Neurospora crassa OR74A: one gene and its partners. The protein of the gene in region 4 interacts with the protein of the main gene of each other region in a pairwise test. Links are inferred from orthologs where the notes say so. Each region holds a gene or a part of one and is shown on either strand. Other genes may lie near its edges.

Region 1 (3,893 bases), on a different chromosome or scaffold from region 4:
CGGCTCGCGGACCAAGATAAGTCAACTGGTCGCTGTGCCAGCCGACATTCTGTTCCGGGCCATCGTACAAATTCACAAACGCCGCATTGGGCGACCAACGGTCGGGGGACTGGTACTTGAGTTTTTTACCGCCGTACAGGTGATGAGTCCGGATGCGCTTCTGGATCTCGGTATTAACGGCGTCCTGCACCAACGGCCGCACTGTTTCCAGCTGAGGTGTCAGGCGGCGGATATCGGAGAGGCGCGCGCCGTTGTAGAAGTAGGCCGATTTTTGCTCGGCCAGCTCGTAATCGCTCCCGACAAAGAAGCAGGATGTGTGGGGGCTAGAGACTACGTTATCGAAGAGCTTGAACGTGGCTTTGCCGAAGGTCTTGGCTTCTTCCAAGAGTTCTACCAAGAGGCTGTTGGCGACCGAAGGGGGGAGGAAGTTGTGGATGACGGTGCAAGGGGTGTGGGTGCTGATGTCGGAGGGGTCGTAGAGATGGAGTGTTGCGCCTTTCCGGGAAAGGAGCTTGGGTTTCTTGGGGATAATACTAGCACCGCCATGGTCGCCATCGCCGGTGGTAGATGGAACGGCGAAAGAGCGTAAAGAAGCCTGTGAAATAATACCTGACGACTTCTTCTTGGCTATCTGCCCTGCGCCCTGGGCACTTTTCAAAGCCTCCGTGGTGGCTTCCACGGATCCATCGTGGGTGATTAGAAGATCCAGTAACGCATCATGACCGAAGTCTGGATGCAATGAAGCAAGTATGGCCAGTTTGATATCGGTTGATTCTCCATCGCCATCCGGAGTGTTGTCAATGGGATTATTGAAGGCGGTGATAGTCTGCTTTATTTGCGTGGTGTCCACGTTTTCCTCCAGCGTCAACTCGGCTTTCCTCTTCCCCCTCGTTATGAACCTGTCCATTGCCACGGCTTAGAGGAAGGAGTACAAAATCTCGACATGTTGGAGTGTCTGTTACCATGGCCGGGTTCACGCTGGTTAGATGCGCGTGGGATGAAAGATGAACATGGATTTGTATTTTCAGACGCGTCCTTGTTACGAAGAGGAAGGAGGGGGACGTGATTGAAAGTGGCCAAACACGCGCTGTCACGGGGACACGTCGGTACTTATTTCTAGTGTGCACTATATTTTACGTATCCTGGGGCGACGTCATGGGTAGGCGCTATCCCTTAGAGAGTTAGCGAGCACATCCATCCATGCTGTGGGGCTCACGCCGTTACGGCCCGGGGCTTCCACGCCCGCGGCAGGGGCAACGTGCCGACCAGATATGGATTGGATGCCAGGCGGGCTTCCGGGGTACCCCACTAATATCCAGATGTAAGCTGACAAGCCGAGGCTTTCCCCACGGCGTTGTCGCTGTTTGGCGTTCTTCAATTAGTTTCCAACCAGCTTTCCATCCCGTCACAGTAAGTTCTGCCAACACCTACACCCGACGCCCGTTTCAAACCCTACCGATACGTCCAAGCCGTCGCCGTCATTTCCAGGTGCAACGCCTCATCTCGCGACCGTCGCTGGCAGATTCATTAGGCTGTCAACCACTCACGTCGGCTAAGAGGTCGTGCGCCCATTGCAACGCCAACCTTTTTACAGAGACCTCCTGATGGGCAGCACATGACAAGCCCACGTTTCTCGACATGGCGTCCATGCTGGAATTTCGTACCCCGGGCTACAATCCTTACGCCGTCAAGTACTCCCCATACTACGACTCACGCCTTGCTGTCGCCACTGCCGCCAACTATGGCATCGTCGGCAACGGTCGCCTCTTCTGCCTGGGCCTGAGCGCAGCCGGCGTCCAGTGCGAAAAGACCTTTGAGACAAACGATGCCCAATACGATCTTGCCTGGTCGGAGCTCAACGAGAATCAGCTCATTGTCGCTTGCGGCGATGGCTCCATCAAGCTCTTCGACCTGGGGGTGGAGAACTTCCCTGTCATGAACTTTCACGAACACAAGCGGGAAACGTTTTCGGTTTGCTGGAATCCCGTCACCAAGGACAGCTTCATCTCGAGTTCCTGGGATGGCACCGTCAAAGTTGTATGTGCTCATCTCTTGTGTTCCTCCCACCCACCATCGTAGCATCATGGCCGATCGACTTGCGCGCTGGCTTACAATCCTCCTACTCTGTCTTCAGTGGTCTCCCACGCGCAACGCCTCCCTCAAGACCCTCCCCATTGGTTGCTGCACCTACAGCACCTCCTACTGCCCCTCGAACGCCGCCCTCGTCTCCGCCGTCTCCGCCGACTCTTCCCTGCGCATCTTCGACCTACGCACGCCCGTATCGGCCAAGTACCACCTGACCAACGTGATCCCCGTGCACGCGCCGGCCACGGGCGGGTCAGGTTACTCGCGCCTTGCCGACGGCTCCATCTACTCGGGCACGGTGCCGAACGAAGTCCTGACGCACGACTGGAACAAATATAACGACACGGTGATCGCCACGGCGGGCGTCGATCGCGTCATACGCACGTTTGATATCCGCAACCCGGCCGGCGGTCCCCTGGCGCTCATGACAGGCCACGAGTACGCGGTCCGCCGCGTTGCATGGAGCCCGCACGCCAGCGACATCTTGGTGAGCGCCAGCTACGACATGAGCGTGCGCGTGTGGACGGACGGATCCACTATGCCGCAGCACGTTCAGCCACCGGTACCGAGCGGGCGCCAGCCTGACACTGTCCGTGCGGGAACTCAGTTGGGCCTTATGAACAGGCATACTGAGTTTGTTACGGGCGTGGATTGGTGTTTGTTCGGTGCAGGCGGTTGGTGCGCGTCGGCCGGCTGGGACGAGAGAGTGCTACTCTGGGATGCTGCGTCCCTGTTGCGTGGATGAAGAAGCAGGTTGTTTGAAAGAGGTGGAAAAACGTATTTGAGTTGATTGGTCTTTGAGTGGATTGCTCAGGCAAATTTACGTGGCAAACTGCCTGATAGTAAAGGAGTAGAAGATATGAGGGCAAAATCAAGACCGATCGACTATCGGCTGCTGAGAATCATTGCATGCACAAAAGCGCCCCCTCAGTTGCGCAGCGATACCCCGGGGAGTTTGTACGTCTAGAAGCCGACATTATACGAACAGAACAGACATGGTGACAGCGGACAGGAGATTTGACCAAACGTGTTCCTTGGCTGGAGCTTACGAAAGTAGGAAATAAATCGGTACAGGAATTGGGTTAAATTGACCGTCCCGACGCGAGAGTCGGTCAGTACGAGAGAAGGGGCGGGAAAGAGACAGAACATAATTGTATAAGGCATCTAGAGGATTAGAAGAACAGTATACCATGATTCGAGATGATGGTAAGCTCAAATTTCTACCCTTAGTATCGCTATGCGTTGAGACGTGTGGTACCAGTGTATTAAAGGAATGCAGTCAACTTGAGTATACATATTTGTCCATGACTATCTCTCTTGAGTATTACCGATACAGCTGGTGTCTCACCATCCCAGTTTGTGCTGTAACATCCAATTTCTTCCATTTGGCTTGGATCTTCTCAATCTTATCTCTTGCACCCCTTCCACTTATAGAATTTCTCGAGGGGTTCCCCAATATGGCTACAGACTCAACATCCTCGGAAATTCACGTCCACTTTGGCTTTCCGCCTCCCTCCCTCCTAATCCCAATAGCCCTGATCAATGGTTCAAATAGTACCACGCCTACCACGCACAAGATCGAGTTCCACACCTGAATGGCATACCACACCCACGCTCCCGGACTCGAGAACACAAATTTGAGCCAGTCATTCACCTGGTAAAAGTCTTCCTGCTTGGTGATTAGGTACCGCTTGCTGTTGTTGCCTCCATTGAAACCGTCGACTAGAGTCTCTGCTTCCTCGCTTGCTCGAGCAGAAGCCACGGGGGCGTTCTCAACAGCAACAGGGTTGCTTGGGTTGGGCGGGTGA
Region 2 (3,786 bases), on a different chromosome or scaffold from region 4:
CCGTGTATGGCAGTAGACTTGGGTCGACGGTAGTGCTTGGTGGTTGTACTGGTACTGGTGCGGGTGCTGGTGCGGGTGCGGGTGCTGGTGCTGGTGCTGGTGGTGCTGCACTTCTTGGTGGCTGCTGCTGCTGCTGCTGCGGGTGACGACTTTGTGAATGTTGACTTTGTGGATACGGTAGTAGTGGTGGTGGTGCCGGTTGCTGAAATTGCTGATATTGTTGGTGTAGATGGTGTAGATGGTGCAGATGATGATGTGGATGTTGATGTTGACCACCACCACCGCTCTTTGGTGGTGTTGCTGGTGGTGGTGGTGGTGGTGGTGGTGGCGGTGATGCCGACCCCTTTCTTCCTTCTTGACCACCGGCCATAGTATTTTCTTGCTCCTCTTGGGATGCTAACGAAACAACAACGACTTCAGATGTCTTTACTGGGCGATGATAAGTACGGATGGTCATCTTTTATCTCCGTGAGCGACGAGACGAGACGATAAGACGGGAAGGGAAGGGAAATAAGAATGATAAGATTGTGGCTTGCAGGTCCGGTGTTTCACTGTGCCGTCCGTAATGGGATGCGCGGCAGGGAAGGGCGGTTGTAGATTGCCGTTAGTAGAGGTAGTGTAGTCTCGTAGTGTGTATGTAGGTAGACGGGAGGGAGGTAGGTAGTTGCCTTGGTCGGTGTTGGTTAGTATCGATGTACCACACACACACAGGAACCGGCAATAAGTCAAAACAGGGAAGTAGTAGGTAATTTATCAATGTAGTGTTACCGGCGGTACAAGTAGTAGGTAGTAGTAGTAGGTATGTGTAAAAGAGCGGGATGGAAACAACACCGACAACGGATGCCCGACAACTCGACGGAATCGAACCAAAGCAAAAGAGGAGAGGGGGGTATCCATGCCTGCCGTGACTACCTAGCATAGTAGCAGTAGTCTACACTACACATCACAGGCACAGGGGGGGATGATTGGGGATGAATGGGCAAATGGGGTAAACTGGCGGGCATCCGTTGCAACCCATTTCTTGGGGTACATGAATGACCTGACAGCCTCGGCTACCTGGCAAGGTCCAAATGGCGGCGGCGGCAAGCAAAAGCAAGCAAGCAACTACACTAGACAGCGACGGGAGCACCCACAGGCCTCCACTGCGCTGCCCGACTTTCAGCTGTCCACTCACAGTGCTACCAAGTGCCACTTTTGATGCGTCGCGGCATCCACTCCTTGGCCCCGGTCTGAGTCCCCCCCCCCTTGTTCGAACTTCCAGGAGGTCGAGGTCCAGGTCCATCTCGCCCCGTTTCTTTCAATTCATCCCAATTATATCGTGAACTTGACTTGACATCAACAAATCCATCGATGGAAACCACGACGGCGATATAATACTAGTAAAACGTCACACCGACCCCCTATCACTACGCGCGACACTGGAACATACCGAAAGAGGAACCTCGAACTCACCCCCTCTCGATACAACCGGCGGGAGCCTATCCCATCCCATCCCATCCCGCCCCCGATAACCACCAGACCGTAACAATACCCAACCGGGCACCGTCGCAACAACCATGGAATTCGTCACCGCCCTCCGCGGCACCTTCGACGACGGCAAGCCCTCCCTCTTCGAGCTTCTCTCGGAACAACAACTCGCCTCCCTCCTCCCGCCCACCCTCCGCTACCTCCTCACCGTGCTCACCCACCGCTACCCGCGCCACCTGCTGCGCATCCTCAACTCCTTTGACGAGCTGTACGCCCTCGCGGGGCTGCTCGTCGAGCGCCACTACCTCAAAACCCGCGGCGGCAGCTTCACCGAGCACTTTTACGGCCTCAAGCGCGAAAAGGCGCTGGCCGCCGAGATCCCGCGCGCGGCCTCTTCGGCGCCCAACCTCGTCCGCGACGCCCTCAAGCTCTCCGATGTCGACATCTGGAAGAACCTGGCCGTCATGGTCGGGATCCCCTACCTGAAACGCAAGCTGGACGAGGCCTACGAGATCGATGCGCCGCGCGCCATGTTGGGCGGCCAGTACACGCGGCCGCCGGCAAAGGGGGCCCCGATGAAGGAGCGGTTCTTGTATTACTACCGCTGGTTTCTACGTAAAGTGTACCCGAGCTTGAACGCGGCGTATTACTTTGCCATCTTGGCGTTTAACCTGGGGTATCTGTTTGACAACACAAAGTACCATAACCCGTTTTTGTGGCTGATCGGGACGCGCGTGCGGCGGATGAACGGGGCGGATTATCAGGCGATTGAGGCTCTAGAGAAGGCAGCGGGGGCCGCCGCCGCTACCTCCAGATTAACAGGGGGGTCGATGTTCAGTCCGAGGAATATGAGTCGAAGGCTGATGGGCGGTCTGTCGCTGGTGCTGCCGACGAGTATTTTTGCGCTCAAGTTCCTTGAGTGGTGGTACGCTTCGGATTTCGCCAAGCAGCTGAGTCGCAAGGCGGCGGAAAGCCTGGATCTGCCGCCGCCGACGGTGACGGGGCTGGTGGAGGCGCAAGCGAGGAATAAGCCTAAACCCAAGATCACGAGGACGTCGGAGGATGGTGTGGAGGAGAAGGCGGATGAGGATGATGAGGCAGAGGAGGAGGCTAGCAGCAAGGAACCAACGCCCGAGACGGCGCCTATAGCGGCTTCGACGCTGTTGCCGATTTTCACGGTGCCACCACCCAAGAGATCTGATATGTGCCCTATTTGCGAGGACGAGATCCAGACGCCGGCGGCGTGTCAGACGGGTGTGGTCTATTGCTTTTCGTGCATACACAAGTGGATGAGCGGGACCCATGTCAGGCAGGAGAAGTTCATGACGAAAGAGCGCGAGGGCAAGTGGGAGAGCGGAGAGGGGAGATGTGCCGTCACAGGAAGGAAAGTGCTGGGAGGGACGGAAGGGCTGAGGCGGATCATGGTTTAGCCGGAAAGAAGATATTGAGGATGATGGATTGGCATGAGTTGTGAAAAGCGAACATTAGACATTATTTAATGGTGGCATATAATCTGGCAAGTTGCATAACCAACATACCGCAAACGAACATGTAAAACTGGACATGCTTACTGGTCAGACAATCAGATTCCTCTATCACCTCGTGGTCGATGAAATGTCAACAGCCATCTTCTTTTTTTTTCTGTACTGCCAAACCGGATGGTTCACGTACGAACAACACGAAGCTCATGCAAGAAAAAAAAAAAAAAAAAGGGGGGGGGGGATCAGAATGTCTATCAACACCGTTTCAGTAACTCGATTAATCTACCTGTACGTACTTCGCGAATCCAAAAAGGCAAAAGAAAGATGCGGTTTGTGTGGATCGAACACACGACCTTCAGATTTATGAGTGAAGTGGACTTCAGTCTGACGCTCTCCCAACTGAGCTAAACCCGCTTTGTTGTTGGACTCTAAGTGCCAAACCTTAACTCATATGGTAGCACCTACCACTTTGCCTGCCATGTTGACCAAATTCGCAATGAAAATGGAATTTCCCATCTTCCTGTATGTCTGTCTACGTCTTGCTTGACGATAATTTCTTTCAGATTACTAGCTAGTCAATTATTTGCCGTGATGAGAAGCGCTATCTAGTGTAGTTGATTTTACTTCAAACCCTGTAGCAAGTGGATGGCGATGTGATAGAGTTCGGTAGGTAGGTAGGTAGGTATTATTGCGATGCTTCTCATTGTATAACCATATACATACGACCACCAGTGAATATTCTGCCTTTCTCTGCCTGAAGAACGCTGTCTTGACTAGGTAGCTGTCTATGGAGAGAAAAAGAGAGAAAACAAAGGGGTAATGGAAATGGAAATGCATA
Region 3 (3,826 bases), about 2.2 Mb from region 4:
ACGGATGATCGGGAGAATTGCGTTCCTGTGCCCCAGCAAAGAGGGTGAGATCCCAATCCTTGGCAACGTCCCAGTAAAAGCTGTAGAGTGAGTTGAGCAGACACGCAACAATCCATGCACGGTACAGGCTCGTAGTTGGGGTACCGCTGGTGTTTGCGTTACGCAACATGGCGTTTAGAATGATAACAGGAAACGCGGTCGAGTACTTGGCCGCGTTGGCGAGATGTTGTCCACCCCAGCCCGTGGACTCCTTGAAAGGGGAATTTCGCACGCGCAGATATTCGATAAGACACTGGCGCAGCCGAATAGCGCTTGGTATCGTCAGGAGAAGTGGTACGAGATAGGTGCCGCCGCAGCTGCGATCGGGTCGGTCAGTAGCAGACCCATTCCGCGTGAAGAACATGCAGAGACATATGAACAGGTCCCCAAGGACCTTGGCGTAGCTGGTGAGAACATCAGCCAGCAAGATATCCCCAAACTTTCCATCCTTGGCCTCAGCCAAACCTCCCACACTGACGCGGCGCAGAGTTGCGAGTAGTCGACGTCGACCGGAGTGCGAAACAGACAGTCTTCGCAGGGGTAGCACGAAGAGGGCTGCGGTCACTGCCAAGTTGGTCATGGGAATCCAGTCATAGTCGATAACGCGTTTTGGATCGCGCCTGGTAAACGACCAAAATGTGAGAATCGAAACAGCGGAGCTTAGCGAAAGAAGAGTCGCAAGACGGTATGTCGAGTGGTGGTGAGGGAGCTGGGTTGGGCTCGATCTTCCTGGGTACCGGATTAAGGAGGGGACGTCGATCTTGCGATTATGGAGGAAGTGAAGGTTGAGGCCCCAGCCCCAAACAGCTAATCAACCAGAGATAGTCAGTTTACAACCGTGTATCCAGAGAGCAAACATACGGTAGGAAACTTGTATATACATACCTATGATCACGATGAAGGCAACCCGGTAGGGAAGGGGAAAGGTCAAGCTGAAGGAGTCGAGCTCCGGCTCAACCACGGGATCACCGTCCATTGCGCCAGGCAGCGGTCAATTTGCTGTCCGTCATGGAATGCGGAGAGGGAGAAGTAACAGTTGGACGCAAAGAAGAGTTGATAGGCTTGGGATCAAATTCCCAGCAGTAACGCGTTTGGAGTTTGTCAAGTGTCAAGATGGAAATTTTAATTTCATCTGTATTGTGGTAGCTGTCGCAAAGACACCGGAGTTGCCAAGCCCCTGTCGCGTGCACTCTTTTTGGCTTAGGGAGAAGACCCGACGTCAGTGCAACCCCTGGTCGCGGCCCCGTCCTGTGACAACCCGCTGCATCATCCCTGCCGCTAAAGCCTGGGCTACGACGTTCTGGGCACCCCCCTGCCAATTCCTCAGCTCGCTCCTTGTGAGGAGGAACCACGCCTGGGGCGGCGCCGGGCGTGCTGCCCCCATTAACCCCAAGGACCGAGGTCCATCCGTTCCCGACTACCACTTTCATCTCAGCTTCAACTGCCGCCTGTCGATCTCGAAACATCAAACAACAACTCGGATAATTTCAGATCGAAAAGACTTAATCATCCACTGCCACAGCTTCGACGATTCGACTGTAGGCATACGAGCTCTCCTAGGGTTCGAGAGTTCCCCCTGAATACGTCGACCGTGTAAACACAGCTTTTGACCCCCCCGACTTCGAGCCCACCCGACCCGACCCAAACGACGACATCAATTACCATGTCATTGACGGCCACCAAGAAGCCTCCTCCGCCGCTCACGAGCTCGCCATATCCATTCGCTGCAGCCCCCGACATTATCCGCGCGCATCAAAAAGATGCCTATTTCCAGGGCGTCCTCACTAACCAGCTGACCGACCTTCACCGGCGCGTTCGCGGTGCCCGCTCCGCCCACTCCTGGGCCACCGAAACCCGTACGGCTGCCGACCTGCTCTACCTATGCCTCACCACCCTCCTCGGCAACCGCACCTTAGGCGAGGAGTACTGCGACCTAGTCCAAGTCGAAGAGCCGAGTACGGGCGGCAACGGCAGGATACCAGACACCCAAAGCCCCGTCGAGCCCAGCAGCGAAGCCGGTGGCCCCCGTCTGCCCTCGCTCCAGCGACGAGCCGGCTACATCGTTAGTAGCGTTCTTGTCCCCTACCTTTTCAGCCGCCTGCTGCCCTCCATCCGCGCCGCGCTCCGCAAGCGCCTCCAGGACCGTCTCACCGTGCTTGCCCGCCAGGGCCGCGGCGACACCAAGGGCGCCACCCCATCTACCTCCAACAACAAGGGCGGTGGTTTCTCCACAGTGTCAACGCTTGAGTACCGCGTGAAGCGCTACCTGCTCACACACCTGACTTCCATCACCAGCGGCGCGCACCTGCACGCCTTGACGCTGGCCGTATTCTACTTTTCGGGTGCTTACTACTCTTTCTCCAAGCGCCTCTTCGGGCTGCGTTATGTGTTCACGCGGCGCATCGAGGAGGGTCAAGGCGGTCGCGCGGGCTATGAAGTGCTCGGCGTGCTGCTGGTGGTGCAGATGCTCGTCCGGGGATACCTGCATGTGACGGCGCAGCTGTCGTCAACTTCGCCGCTTAGTGCCGAGGAGGCCAGTACCGAGGCGAGCATTCGGGAGCGCGCCTTTGGGCCGGGCGCTGCGGGCACACTGGATGTGTCGTTAGATGAGAATGCCTATAGCAGCAATAACGAGTTGCTGGTGGAGACGGGCAAGTCGGGTAACCAGCGTAGTTTGGCGGAGATTGGACGGACGACGCACACCCCTGTGCCCAAGGGCGGGAGGGCGAACTACGACTTGGCGGCGAATGAGGAGGTCATGGGCTGGATCAAGGGGAGACAGCAGAGGATGTGCACGCTTTGCTTGGAAGAGCTGAAGGACCCGGCGGCGACCCAGTGCGGACATGTCTTCTGCTGGTCGTGTATTGGAGACTGGGTGCGCGAGAAGCCTGAGTGTCCGTTGTGCAGACGTGAGACGATGGTACAGCATATTCTGCCATTGAGGGTTGCTTAGAGCAGTCCTTTTCTGGCGGTCGGGGGGGACAAAATACTTAATATACGGGAGATATGACAAAAAGCAGGAGTCTTACAACGTCCTCTCGAGAACAGATTTTGGGTAGTATTTGCACATGACAAGGAGCGAACAGTCAACAACTGCGGTTTAGGGATAATTGTATATGCAGCAAGCATATTGCCAGGAGAGAGAGCCTGTTTTCGTACATAGCCTAATGATTGAATGATCCGACATATTCTCAAAAGGTCAGGAACTTTTGACAAGCTAATGCACATATGTTCAAGTATGAAATTGAATTATTCCTTGTCCGATATTAATATTTGGTATTTACTCTACAAAAACTTCTCTTGCTTGATTAATATCGAGTCTCGTCCCGTTTGGGTCTTAATCAAGACCCGAGCAACCTCGACATAGGTCCAAAGGGTCATGAAATACATACACGAGGTGCGAAAGAGAAAATATGACACCTCAATGAAAGCCTCAAGTTCCGACCCATCTTCAAGCATCAAGCCACCAAGGTCGTGGTTGTCGTACTTGTGCTTCGCTGTCCCCCAACAGCTCGTAATCGTGGACGCTTTCGCGTCATCAAGATCGTGGGCACATCATATGCCTCCCCTTCAACAGAAAGACCCATTTACCGTATGGAATGAGGAGAGAGCGACGGCGCGGATTTCGTTGTCGAATCGAGCTATTTCTTTTCGGGGTCTCCTGAGGAAACCCTTTGGATGAATTCTGCGATGGCTTCAAAGTAGCCTTCTTCGAGGACACTCGAGTTATGGTCGCCGTTGGGAAGAGGCTTCCAGATCTTTATCGGAGCGTTGGAGAGATGATAAA
Region 4 (4,158 bases):
TGGCCGGCCTTCTTGTCATGTCCAATATCTATAACATTCCACATCTTCGCCTCCTTTGCGTAAATAGATTGGCGAAGGAGCTTGACGTGGATCACGCATGTATCATCTGGTACTGCGCCGGCATGGCGAATGAAGAGTGGCTGCGGAAACGGGCTGCCACCTTCTGTATGACGCACTGGGGCAGGGTTGTACGCACGCTCGGTTTCCAGAGGCTTCCTCGGGCGGCTCTGGTGGAGCTCTCGCAGGAAGTTGATATGGAAGGCCGTGTGGTTGGCGGTGACGAGCTTGATTTGATGGTGGGGATCGATGGTCGTTACCACGACGGAGGGTCTGGCTCGTCACGGCGTAAAGGGAGCATTAGTAGCAACCATACGCAAGTGCTTGAAAGCGAGCTTGATGAAGACGAGGGCATGGAGATGTCATGAACAGCTAGGTTCCGCTTTCTGTCACGGCAGAGGATGTCTTTTCACCTCGTCGTTATTCTCCTCGTCATTAGATTTGTTCCATACACAAGCACGGACTGGAAAGAGTGGCTAGTTGGACAAAAGGGCGGGCCTTTAGCACGACGGGAATCGGCACTGAAGGGGTCGCAGGCCCGCTAGATGTGTTAGGTCCCTAGTCAGGACTTTGGGTTGAGGTATGACCGATGTGATGGATAGGATAGGTTGGGCAGACTTGGCTTTTCGTGCGATGAGCTTCTCGGCCATCCTTTAGTAAGGAGGCATTCAGGAAACCCAATGGGATCGGGGAAAGATGCTTACTATTCCACAGAGGCATTGCAAAGGCGTTGGCGTAATTGATGGGTATTCATTGTTAGCGTGCATGTAAGACTGGTCGTTTCTCCTTTCTGTCCTACGGCTAGTAGTGTCCATATTGGCAATCCGAACTATTATTCGGACATTCATACGCACTGATCTGAATTTGAGGTTGGCTTGTTGATTAGGTCTTGAAAGAGAACAGCATCGAGCAATTACAAAACAACCGACCTTGGTTGCAACCTGCCAGAATCATCGATATACCGCACCCCCTGAACTTGGAAGTTGGCGAGCTTAATACGTTGACGTGCAAGCATTTCTCAATCCACCATGTTAAGGAACAATTATACTGCGTACATCCACGTTTTCCTTTATCACAGCTTACATCATGCTGATGTTCGTGGAGTGCAGACTGCAGAGTCGTAAAAGACGAGCACGATGCCCAGCATGCAGCTGACCATGCTGGGTCGGTACCTACCTACCATACATAAAGTGTCCATGCAGGCAGTGTTACCCGCTAAAATGTTGCCGAGGTTCACAAGCCGTCCGAAAGCGATAAAAGCAACAGGAGTGGTCGCTCCCGGACTGACGTTCTCCACCTTTCCGCTGCTACGACATCGTCCCCTCCTGTCAATGCTCGATCCCCTCCCCATAGTGGTCTAGGAAAAGTCGACATTTTTATACCCGAAGGGCCCAAAAAGAAGTCGAGAATAAGACTACGATAAATTATCCTCTGATGCCACGCCCGCTGACTCTACTTATTGGCCCTGATCTACTCGCACACACTCTCTCGCGCTCCCCTTCCCTGAACGAATTTACGCGAGGAAGCCGCCAAACCGGGATCCTCAGCTAAGCCCAGCGCCCTCGCCACTGCGGCAACTCTTTGCCAGCCCAGGCGCTCAGCCAGCTCCCAGCAGCAAAGTGCAGCGGTCCTGACGCTTGTCGCATCGCACGCATTCTGTCCCATCGCTTAAGACTGACGACTGGACCATCCCTAACTAGGCGGCCACCAGTAAACCCCCCTTGTTTTCGTCTTCTCCCTTTACCGGTCCATCGAAGTCATTCCTCGAGCACTACCACCGGCCATCAACGGCGGAGGATCAGATAATCCACACACAATCGCCATGGCATCCCCCCCGAAACCGTGGGAAAGACAAGGCGCGACGTCTGGCGCATCGGGTATGTTTTTTTTCCCGTTCACCATTCCATGTGCGCCCGACAAGCAGGGCACTGACATTGAATCCGCAATGACACAGCGCCCGCACCAGCAGCCTCTTCGGCCGCGACGCCATCACCAGAGTCAAACACGACAACAACAACATCAGGCTCAACCCCGGCCATCCCCGCGAGACCTGCCAGTCTGACCGCCTCCGTCAACCAAAATGCCGCCAACTACAGCAGACCAATGGGCGCGATGGGTACATCACCATACGGGGTCGGCGTAGGCTCGTACGGCACAACATACGGCTCTTCATACGGCTCAGCATACTCGTCGCCCTATTCCAGCCCCTATTCCAGGTATGGGGGTATGGGCGGATACGGCAGTTCAATGTACGGCGGTTACGGCGGGTCGATGTACGGCGGTGGCATGTACGGCGGCGGCGGCATGTATGGAGGAGGTATGGGTGGCATGCCGGGCGATCCCAACAACCCGGAAAGTTTGACCAACCGCTTCAACATGAGTACGATGGCCACATTCCAGATGCTGGAAGGCATTGTCGGCGCATTCGGAGGTTTTGCACAAATGCTTGAGAGCACTTATATGGCGACACACTCGAGTTTCTTTGGTAGGTTATATCATCCTACATGCCCACCTCCAGTCAGGCGCAACTGATATACTAACATCAGCTCAGCCATGGTTGCTGTCGCAGAGCAGTTTGGCAATCTTCGCCAAACCCTAGGCTCCATTCTGGGCATCTTCACTATTATGCGCTGGATTAGGACAGTGTTCGCCAAGATCACCGGCAAGCCTCTACCAGCCGATGTCTCCAGCCTCAATCCAGCCTCTTTTGCCATGTTTGATGGACGCGGGAAGGGCGGTGCTGCAGCGGCTGCCGGTGGTGCCGCCGGTGCCATGCCCAAGCCCAGCCGAAAGCCCCTCATCTTCTTCGTTCTCGCTGCCTTCGGTCTGCCCTACGTGATGAGCAGGGTGATCAAGTCGCTGGCCTCCAACGCTGAGGAAGAGGAAAAGAAGCGCCAGCTCGTTGTCGCGCAACAACAAACCATCGACCCGACCAAGCTTGAGTTCTGCCGCGTCCTGTACGACTTCTCGCCCGCCACGCAGGGGAATGGCGAGATCGTCCCGGGCGTAGACCTTGAAGTTCACAAGGGTGATCTGGTTGCCGTTCTCAGCAAGAGCGATCCTCTCGGCCAGCCTAGCGAGTGGTGGAAGTGTCGCGCCCGCGACGGAAGAATTGGCTATCTACCGGCCACCTTCCTCGAGGTACTTAAGAAGCCAGGTCAGCCTGTTGCAGCTATTGCTGGGGCCCCATCCATCAGCATTGACGGCGACACGAGGGCCAACTCGCTGAGCAGCATCCTCAGCGACGCGGATAAGAAAGTGCTGGTTCCGGCCCTACCGGCGGCCAAGGCTAGCGATATTAGCGTCGAGAGTTTCCAGAAGTCGCAGTTCTTTTCTTAGGGAGGCAAGGAACGCAGGCGGAATGATCTCAGCAAAATGCACATCGAGACGTCGCGGTTCATGCCACGCTCTTCTCGGCTTCGACACTCGGTCTCATTCTCTTAATACACGCCTGATCGTGCGAGCTCTGGATCTACCATGTGCAAAGCGCCGGCCTCCTGGGAGTGGCCCAACACCCAATGGCCATCTAATCGGCTTTCCTCTCCAACACAACAATCAGACACAATAGCAAATCAAATCAAAATCGGATTCTCCTTGATTCGGATTCGCCCAGCCTGGTGGAAATGACCACACTTTCCTACCAGGAAAAAATCACCAAGCAGCTACGTAGAGGCACACGAGAGCGCGGTGAGATAATCAGTCGGAGCATTTCCGGAAGTTTTCGAACTCGTCGGAAGGGTGTAAGACGTCACCAAACAAGCATGCATGCCCACAACGGTCAGTTACGGCATTATCATTATTAAGAGAATGACAAACACTCTCACATCTTTATACACCTGCATGACACGATTATTGCGTGGGTAAACGTCTTTTCACCATAAGTCAATACCCGAGCGAGCCAAAAGGGAGATATAGACACAGAGGACGGCCATGGTAAATGGATGAATGGATGCATGGAGTAAGCGGAAGCGGCGAACGCTGAAAGACATGGACGCACGAGGTGTGAAATCGAAAGGGGGGATGAAGGGAAGTGATAGGCGATGTGAGGCGGTGACCACACCGATGGCACAGGGATGGAACGAAGCGTGGCTAATTAGCCTA
Region 5 (3,985 bases), about 5.6 Mb from region 4:
ATCGAGCAAGAAAGAGACTCATGAGAAGAACTCGGATTTTGGCATTGGACTTGCTATTCTCTTCGTTGCCCAGAGCTTATCGGCTGTCATGGGCCTTTACACGGAAGAAACTTACAAGAAATATGGCCCGCACTGGAAGGAGAACCTCTTCTATTCGCATCTCCTGTCCTTGCCCCTGTTTCTGTTTTTCTGGCCGTCGTTGAAGACGCAATTTAAGAAACTGGCCAACAGCGCGCCCTTGACTCTACCGCTGCCGGACTTTGAAGAGTACCCCAATCTGTCGCCCAACATCCAGAAGTTCCTGGAGAATATTCACATTCCCAGTCAACTGTTCTATCTGGCGCTAAACGTCCTGACCCAGTATGCTTGCATCCGCGGAGTCAATCTTTTGGCAGCAGCCTCGACTGCATTGACAGTCACGATCGTCCTCAATATCCGGAAGCTTGTCAGTCTGCTACTGAGCATATGGCTGTTCGGGAACAAGCTGGCGTTTGGAACCTTGGTGGGAGCCGTGATAGTGTTCGGCGCTGGCGGGCTGTACTCGCTGGACGGGAAGAAGAAGGCTCCGGTCCGGAGGGTCTCGTCCGCGCCGCTCAAAAAGGCATGATCCGTTTGAGGGTTGATTTGTTGTGACGGTGGAAATTTAGTTGATACTTCGATAGCAGCCGGGATAACCGTGTCCGACTGACAGTTTGGAATGAAACTCGGATTCTGCACCGATCCTCCTAGGGCTCGAAGTCTGCTTTTAGGTAATAGTTTGACTGTTTGTTGCCGGAAGTGACCGAGAATAAGGGCCGGAACCGCCCTGTTGATAAATCTTCAGGGGTCTGTCTCCAGGAGCCACCTTGCGCCCTTGCAGCGGTAGGGTCAGAATGCAAGCAGTTCCTTTTTACGGGCGGTCCTTCTGTCAGGCGCAGTGGGTGCAGAAATGGGGCCGAAAGAGACCGCAGGGAGCTCGTTAGTGGTCCATCGACGGGAGACACCCCTGCAACTCTGCAAGAGCCTTATGGTGGGGTTGCGATGCGTCATCCGACGCGGCAGATGGAAGATCCCGTTCGCTTCTTGGTGCCCGTGGTTTTGGTAACCAAGAGTTTAAACCACCTTTGTGTGGCAGGGCAGTTATAGGCCTATCTCCGTATCGGACTATCAGTCTTGATCAGAGTTTGGAGGGGTTTTGGTCTGGGCGTTCGATTCTGATAGTCATTCTTCCTCTGTAGTCCTCTCTCTAGATTTGAACCCAACATAAACCTAAACACTACACCAAAGAACAGCACCAACTGACACAAGCCAAGTTCGGTACCTTGTCAAAAGGTCGTCACCCGTCGTATACGTCGGACAACAAGCAAACAGGTAAAACTGTGACTGTGCCCAAAGACGACAACGGCCAATCGTTGTTTGGGGCTTCCATCCAGCGGGCAGAATTTGCAAATCTGCCCCTCGCTGTCATCACCTTCCTTCCGCTGTGTACACCCGAATACAGCAGCAACTATTCACCTTCTCTTTGCGCTTTTAGACTGCTACTATGTGTGGTGGTAAGTTGCAGGAACCACAGCGTCCCCCGCAATGATCCCGTCCTTGACCAATGTGCTCTTCAATGCCTCCATGATCGTGGTCTGATGATCTCCTGCTAGGACCCTCCCCATACGCGCGCGACACCCAGTCGTCAAGCCCGACGTCTCCCAGCTTCGCGGCTAGCCACCTACCGGCTCGCGATTCCGACGACGAAGAGTACAATGCTCATGAAACGAGTGACACAGAGTTCGACAACACCATCGAGCATGACCACCTTGGCAGCAGGCCTGGCAGCGCTGGTAGCCACGGCGACCTGGCCAACAACGGGAACCACTCGACAGACGCAGAGATTGAAGAGGGCATGCTTCTCAGAGATATGCCCAAAAAGACGACATTCTACGACGCCGTAACCGAGCGCCAGATGACTCAGACAGACGCCAAGCTGTTCTATCAACGGAGCCAGGTCGAGAGAAACCAGATTCCTACAGACGGCCACGCTACTCCCACTGGCAGCCCATTCATCGCGCCAGGCCACGGTCACGGCACTGTAACAAGGCAAATCCCTACGGACTCTTCCCAGAGCGCCATCCTGTCTCCCGAGTCCACGATGGGCACTGGGCTTAAGGCCGGCCCTGCCAATGATCCTTTGATCGAGGCCTCGCTCCGGCAAAAGATGCCGCGACTGTCTGGCAGCTACAGTCATACTCGGACTGTCACCGGCAGCTCGCCATTGCCGGGGAGGATGAACCAGGCTGCTCAGCGGGAGACGTTGCTGAACACCGGCATGGTCTCTGGTATTGGAAGCAGTACTTATATGGACACAGACCCTCAGATCACTGCGGAGCTTACTGGCATCTTTCAGGGCGTTCAGAAGATCATTGATCTTCGGCAAAAGTACATCAATCTGTCCCTCCAAGGGCCGCATGATAACCCTAAGGATGATCCTAACTGGGTCATCTATCCTCCTCCCCCGGGCCCGGCTTGGAGCGCCGGAAACAGCCTAGCGAACAGCATGATACTGAATAACGACAAACACGAAGGGTCCTCTGGCACCCCATACAAGTGGACGGGCAAGAGGCGCAAACCTGGGCAGGATATTGGCGAAGATTTTGTGCTTGAGGACTTGTTGCCTGTGCCTGGTCCGGATGACTTTACGTATAAACTGGATGAAAATGGTGTTTACCAGATCTACAGCAACGACCAGCACAAAGAGGCCGATCAGCCAGCTATCAAGATCCCAACCTTGAGGGAGTATTACTTGGATCTGGAAGCCATCCTGTCCGTCTCCTCGGACGGACCTAGCAAGAGCTTTGCCTTCAGACGTCTTCAGTACCTCGAGAAGCGGTTCGACCTTTATGTGCTTTTGGAAGGATACGATGAGACGGCCGACTGCAAGAAGGTGCCCCATCGTGATTTCTATAACGTCAGAAAGGTTGACACCCACGTTCACCACTCGGCCTGCATGAACCAGAAGCATCTCTTGCGTTTTATCAAGAGTAAGATCAAGAAGTATCCGGACGAGATTGTGCTTTACAGAGATGGCAAGTACTTGACGCTAGCGGAGGTATTCGAGAGTCTCAACCTCACAGCGTACGATCTCAGTATCGACACGCTGGATATGCATGCTCACACGGATTCGTTCCACCGCTTCGACAAGTTCAACCTCAAGTATAACCCAATCGGCGAGTCGCGTTTGCGTACCATCTTCCTCAAGACCGATAACTTTATCAACGGACGCTACCTGGCCGAAATCACCAAGGAAGTCATTGCGGATCTGGAGTCTAGCAAATACCAGATGGTTGAGTGGCGTGTGTCTATTTACGGCAAGTCCCTCGATGAGTGGGACAAGCTTGCCAGCTGGGTTGTCGACAACAAGCTGTTCTCTCACAACGTCCGCTGGCTCGTCCAGATTCCTCGCCTTTACGATGTCTACAAAGCTAGTGGCGGCGTAAACACGTTTGAGGAAATTGTCAGGAACATCTTCGAGCCCTTGTTCGAGGTCACTAAGGATCCCTCCAGCCACCCCAAGCTGCACATCTTCCTGCAGAGAGTCATTGGTTTGGACAGTGTCGACGATGAAAGCAAGGTCGAGCGACGACTGTTCAGGAAGTTCCCCGTCCCTAAGATTTGGGACGGCAAGCAGAACCCTCCTTACAGCTACTGGATCTATTACCTGTATGCGAACATGGCCTCGCTTAACCATTGGCGCAAGAGGCGTGGGTTCAACACTTTTGTCCTCCGTCCCCATTGCGGTGAAGCGGGTGACAGCGAGCATCTTGCCGTCGCTGCTCTGTGCTGCCACAGCATCAGCCACGGTCTTCTCTTGCGCAAGGTTCCTGTCTTGCAATACGTCTTTTACCTTGAAAAAATTGGTATTGCCATGTCGCCATTGAGCAACAACGCGTTGTTCTTGGCATACGAGAGAAACCCGATGCACCAATACTTCAAGCGTGGCCTCAACGTGTCGCTCTCC
Region 6 (4,073 bases), on a different chromosome or scaffold from region 4:
AATGGTTTCCCGTTTTCAAAAAGTTCAATTATGCGAATACATAGCACGGTCCTATCGCGCCGAGCTTGAACACGCGAGGAGCATGAGCACCTCCCACCTCACTGTGCGCAGGAGGAGGGGTTGTCCCGGCCGTGATTGACGCGGGCAAGCAGAGATTGCGGCTGTGTTGTATGTAGATAGAGGTACTGTACTGACTGTCGAACAGAGACCACAGAACACCGCAGAGGTTGCACGCAGACTCGTTCTCCAAGATGCCAGGCCAGATCAGGATCGGAACCTGGAATGCCCTCGAGTTGACGTCTACATTGGAATCGAATCAAGCTGACGGCGTCAAGCAAGGTCCAGAGCGGGTGTTGGAAGCAACCTCGACGACATGATGCCAAAGTCAAGAGGAAACGAGGGGAAAAGGTTGAAGAGGTGGTGGCGCCCTGGTCCCTGTCAGTCTCCCGTGCAGAGTGTCCCCGCCATCGCCGTTCCGTTGCCGCCGGCGGTTGAACAAAAAAGTGGGCAGGTGAACTGATGGAACTTGAAGCCTCTCACAGGCGCCTTTTCGTGGTGTTGTAGTGGTAGCAGTGGCAGCAGTGGTCGAAAGTGGCTCTCTTCAACTGCAATGGCACTGCACCAGGCAGTCTAGGTAGTCCCACTCTCCCGTCCCCCACCCGTCCCCACCTGCCCTGTCTGGCAGAGGGGACGGGACTGAGATGTAGAACTAGAGGTAGGTAGTGTAGTGTAGTGTAGACTTCAGTTGCTTCCCAGAAGGCCGGACACACTCCCGCTGTCTGTCTAGAAGCCGAAAAGTGCATGTGCTGCCCTCTTGTTGTGCGGTGCAGTGTGCAGATGCAGCAAGCAACAGCCGCCCGACAGCAGTCACGAAGCATTCGAAGGGAATAGGTAGACCTAAGACCGACACAACCTCAATCATAGTATGCTTCCCTGAACTTTGCGTCCGGGCTTCCTTGTCTCCAATTCTCATTTGGCATCTGCAGGCCGAGTGTCCCCGCCCCGCCCGCCGTCCGACCGTCAGCAACACCGGACGACAGCCAGACAACTTCAGACGACAGCAGCAGTAGCAGCCCAGCAGTAGCAGCCCAGCAGTAGCAGGAGCAGCAGCAGCATCGCCGCGCATAGCCGACACCCGTCCGCCATCTTGGGTTCACTCATTTGAGCCCGGCCAACAATAAGTCGATAACGAGTTTGACGAGATTCGTAAAATTCGACAACCCACAAACTGTCAACGGCCACACATCGACACCGACTCGTACAAAGTTGGACCACCATTGGACACACCCTGCCCAAAGCAAGCAATCCCCCGCGCCGCCCAACCAGTCACCCACTTTATCCAAGTCATCCAATCCCTCTCCAGTCTGCGCACTTGTAGCACCAGCACCATACTGCTTGGACTATGCCCGACCTTGCCCTGCTCAATCATCAATTGGGTGCCGTCCACAAGCTAACGTCTGCTCACCACTCTCAAAAGGTAGCCGGACCCTGACCTTCTGATAAGCATACTAAAAAGCTTCGAGATCCATCAAAAATAAATCGTCATTCAAATAGTCTAGAGAAAACAAGCGGAAAAGTGAAAAGCGCCAGCCTAGTCCGAGTTCCCACACAGCAGTAACAACAGAAAGCATCACCCCTTCTTCAACGTACCCAGTCCCCGCCAAACCCAGCATCGCCGGCGGTCCGGGGTCTGTCTTTTTTTCCTACCTTGTACCTTCAACTTGTACACAATCCCACCACAAACCAAAGCGCAATTTTCGACCGGCATCAAGCTTCCAGGATCCCGTCCCCCTTCAATTGTCGACTTTTTTGCTCTTGTCCGTTCTGTGTCTGTGATTCTGGCCTGCCAACTTATCCCGCCCGCCTCAATAACTGCTGCCACCCCCCCAATTCCCGTCTCTTCTCCCAAGTCTCGCCTTCTTTTGGTTGACCCGGCCCCCAGCCAAACCGTCCGCCAGTACCGTACGTTGAACATCTTCCTTGTCTTTTCTTATTCTTAGTTACCCCATCTCGTAGCCCTCGTGCCCTTCCCTACGCTAGGGTTGGGTTTCTCTCGCAGTGACCATGGACGGCCAGCTCTCCCTCCTCTCGCCCACCTCGTCCTCCTCCACTTCGCATAGTCGCAAAAGACTCACAAAGAAGCAACGCCCGCCATCCGCAAATCACCGCACTAGCTCCTCTTTCAATGTCGAATCGCTCCGTATTGACGCCCAATCTCTAGACAGCAAACGGAGCGCCTCCAGCCTGCGCCAGGGCCCCAACTGCAACCAAAGCCCATCTCTGGCCAGGACCGTATCCGTCCCAGTCTCCGTCCCTTCAAACGCGCCCGCCCACACCAAAGCCAGCGACCTCTCTCTGCCACGCTCCCACACCACTCGCTCTCAATCCGCAAATCGCCCTTACAATCCGACGCAGACAATACCAACCAACCGCTTTATCCTCTCGCCGGCCTCATCGTCGCAACCCCAAACTCAATCGCCGCCTTATCCCAGCGCTGTTGCCAGCACCACCGTTACTAGCTCCAGGAACAAGGACACATCCAAGCAGTACGACCCACTAGACTCCTGCATTGGATCCTTCGATCAAAACAAATTATCCACGGATGAACTGATTGGCGCTCCATTCGACGGCAACGCCATTCTCAGTCGAATCGAGGCAACAAAATTATCAGCCGCGCCCGCGCCCACGTCCACGACCACGATTGCGCACTCCAACAACATTTCTCCTCGTCGTGTCGCTCCTCCTCCTCCTCCTCCCCCGCCTGCTCTATCGCGCTCAAACACGGACTCCAAGGCTGCGAGATCTTCAAAACCGTCAAAGTCGCCCAAATCCACCATATCAAACAAGACCATGGGCGCATCTTCATTCCGCCACTCGGCGAGTTTCTCGTCGGCTGAACAACTTCCGCCAAGCGAAAAGCCGTCCAAGTCAGAGAGCAGCTCTTCGAGTAACAAGAGACACTCCGGTGATGGTAAAGAGTCCAGGGTGCCCGGTATGCTAAGGAAGAAGTCGGGCTTCTCCGGCTTCATGAACAGCTTAGTTGGGTCTCCGAAAAAGCCATTGATTTCGGCGCCAGAGAACCCCGTTCACGTCACACACGTCGGATATGATAGCAATACTGGCCAGTTCACGGTATGTTGCCATGCCATGTCAACTAGTCTGAATGTTATGGATGGACTAATACGTTGATAGGGTTTGCCAAAAGAGTGGCAGCGTTTGATAAGCGAGAGTGGAATCACTGAGAAGGACAGAAGAGAACACCCACAAATACTGGTCGATGTCCTCACATTTTACAAGGAGACAACCGAGAAGCCACAGGAAGATCAACAGCTAGAGAAGTTCCACGATGCACGAGCGACAGATTTTCGCAGCCCGCCCGTGACCGGCACCGCTCCGCTCGTACTGCAAACAGGCGTTGGCTACGCTCATGGTCCCATGTCGCCAATGATTAGTCCACCCGCTAGTCCTAGGTTTCCTCAAGTTGGTCATGAGGGCAGCTTTGAGAACCCCCGTGCGCCGCCGCCGGTTCCCAAGGGCCCTGGCCCTCTTCCAGCAAAGGATATCAACTTGATCCCCAGCAGACCGGCACCGAAGCCACCAGCAATATCCACACGACCGCTGGTGCCGCCAGCCTCATTGCCAGCCAAGGATTCAGGAATTGGCATGCCACCGCCCGGTGATGAGGCTCCGATGCCGTACCTCCCTCCCAAGGATAATGTCCAGCATATGTACCAGGAGGAGCACAGGAACAGGTCCAGATCGAATTCCCGGACAAACGGCGCTGCCCCGTTCTCTCCCGTGCAGGCGTCCCCACTGCATCCGATCGCCACGGCGAACCAGACTGCGGCTTATCAGCAGCAATTGTTGCAACACCAGCAAGAACAGGCCATGGCCCAAGCCCAGGCAGCAATGAGCGGTCAACTGAGCCGAGCTGCAAGCAAGAGACAACAACCAACTCCGCCCACCTCACAACACCAACACCCCCGGCAGCCAGACATCAATGGGGCTCCTCGTATGCCACAGACTCAGGGGGCGGCTCCCCAAGCTAGCGCGAGACCCCGTCACAGACCGCG

What was found.
Region 1: the proteins of pex13 (region 4) and pex7 interact in a two-hybrid assay, tested with the Saccharomyces cerevisiae proteins (2 studies listed by BioGRID). The link is inferred for Neurospora crassa OR74A from reciprocal best matches to the Saccharomyces cerevisiae genes PEX13 and PEX7.
Region 2: the proteins of pex13 (region 4) and pex12 interact in binary tests that used the Saccharomyces cerevisiae proteins (3 or more experiments, as listed by UniProt). The link is inferred for Neurospora crassa OR74A from reciprocal best matches to the Saccharomyces cerevisiae genes PEX13 and PEX12.
Region 3: the proteins of pex13 (region 4) and pex10 interact in binary tests that used the Saccharomyces cerevisiae proteins (3 or more experiments, as listed by UniProt). The link is inferred for Neurospora crassa OR74A from reciprocal best matches to the Saccharomyces cerevisiae genes PEX13 and PEX10.
Region 5: the proteins of pex13 (region 4) and NCU02979 interact in a two-hybrid assay, tested with the Saccharomyces cerevisiae proteins (2 studies listed by BioGRID). The link is inferred for Neurospora crassa OR74A from reciprocal best matches to the Saccharomyces cerevisiae genes PEX13 and AMD1.
Region 6: the proteins of pex13 (region 4) and stk-4 interact in binary tests that used the Saccharomyces cerevisiae proteins (3 or more experiments, as listed by UniProt). The link is inferred for Neurospora crassa OR74A from reciprocal best matches to the Saccharomyces cerevisiae genes PEX13 and STE20.

The regions. Positions count from the first base shown.
Region 1 is NC_026504.1:2,328,885-2,332,777, forward strand, and holds pex7 (peroxisome biogenesis factor 7), read left to right. Parts: upstream 1-1,334; 5' UTR 1,335-1,638; coding exon 1,639-2,037; intron 2,038-2,134; coding exon 2,135-2,830; 3' UTR 2,831-3,393; downstream 3,394-3,893. Other genes in the region: NCU07663 (GRF zinc finger domain-containing protein), read right to left, coding at 1-907; NCU07661 (hypothetical protein), read right to left, coding at 3,572-3,893. UniProt on the Saccharomyces cerevisiae protein: Receptor required for the peroxisomal import of proteins containing a C-terminal PTS2-type peroxisomal targeting signal, such as 3-oxoacyl-CoA thiolase. Specifically binds to cargo proteins containing a PTS2 peroxisomal targeting signal in the cytosol.
Region 2 is NC_026504.1:5,625,390-5,629,175, reverse strand, and holds pex12 (peroxisome assembly protein 12), read left to right. Parts: upstream 1-1,231; 5' UTR 1,232-1,556; coding exon 1,557-2,897; 3' UTR 2,898-3,286; downstream 3,287-3,786. Other genes in the region: NCU05244 (thioesterase), read right to left, coding at 1-457. UniProt on the Saccharomyces cerevisiae protein: Component of a retrotranslocation channel required for peroxisome organization by mediating export of the PEX5 receptor from peroxisomes to the cytosol, thereby promoting PEX5 recycling.
Region 3 is NC_026501.1:5,159,126-5,162,951, reverse strand, and holds pex10 (RING-1), read left to right. Parts: upstream 1-1,429; 5' UTR 1,430-1,702; coding exon 1,703-2,992; 3' UTR 2,993-3,326; downstream 3,327-3,826. Other genes in the region: NCU03278 (protein-ER retention protein), read right to left, coding at 1-846, 925-1,015; bem46 family protein, read right to left, coding at 3,681-3,826. UniProt on the Saccharomyces cerevisiae protein: E3 ubiquitin-protein ligase component of a retrotranslocation channel required for peroxisome organization by mediating export of the PEX5 receptor from peroxisomes to the cytosol, thereby promoting PEX5 recycling.
Region 4 is NC_026501.1:2,931,090-2,935,247, forward strand, and holds the start of pex13 (peroxisomal membrane protein), read left to right. Parts: upstream 1-1,358; 5' UTR 1,359-1,879; coding exon 1,880-1,934; intron 1,935-2,011; coding exon 2,012-2,542; intron 2,543-2,608; coding exon 2,609-3,396; 3' UTR 3,397-4,158. Other genes in the region: NCU02617 (kelch repeat-containing protein), read left to right, coding at 1-425. UniProt on the Saccharomyces cerevisiae protein: Component of the PEX13-PEX14 docking complex, a translocon channel that specifically mediates the import of peroxisomal cargo proteins bound to PEX5 or PEX21 receptors.
Region 5 is NC_026501.1:8,514,715-8,518,699, forward strand, and holds the start of NCU02979 (AMP deaminase), read left to right. Parts: upstream 1-1,185; 5' UTR 1,186-1,522; coding exon 1,523-1,532; intron 1,533-1,631; coding exon 1,632-3,985. Other genes in the region: NCU02980 (UPD-GlcNAc transporter), read left to right, coding at 1-607. UniProt on the Saccharomyces cerevisiae protein: AMP deaminase plays a critical role in energy metabolism.
Region 6 is NC_026506.1:2,078,811-2,082,883, reverse strand, and holds the start of stk-4 (serine/threonine-protein kinase ste-20, variant 1), read left to right. Parts: upstream 1-1,273; 5' UTR 1,274-1,297; intron 1,298-1,404; exon of another isoform or gene 1,405-1,481; 5' UTR 1,482-2,064; coding exon 2,065-3,132; intron 3,133-3,192; coding exon 3,193-4,073. Other genes in the region: NCU03895 (hypothetical protein), read right to left, coding at 29-300, 670-709, 1,060-1,146. UniProt on the Saccharomyces cerevisiae protein: MAP4K component of the MAPK pathway required for the mating pheromone response, haploid invasive growth and diploid pseudohyphal development. Links the pheromone response G-protein beta gamma subunits to downstream signaling components.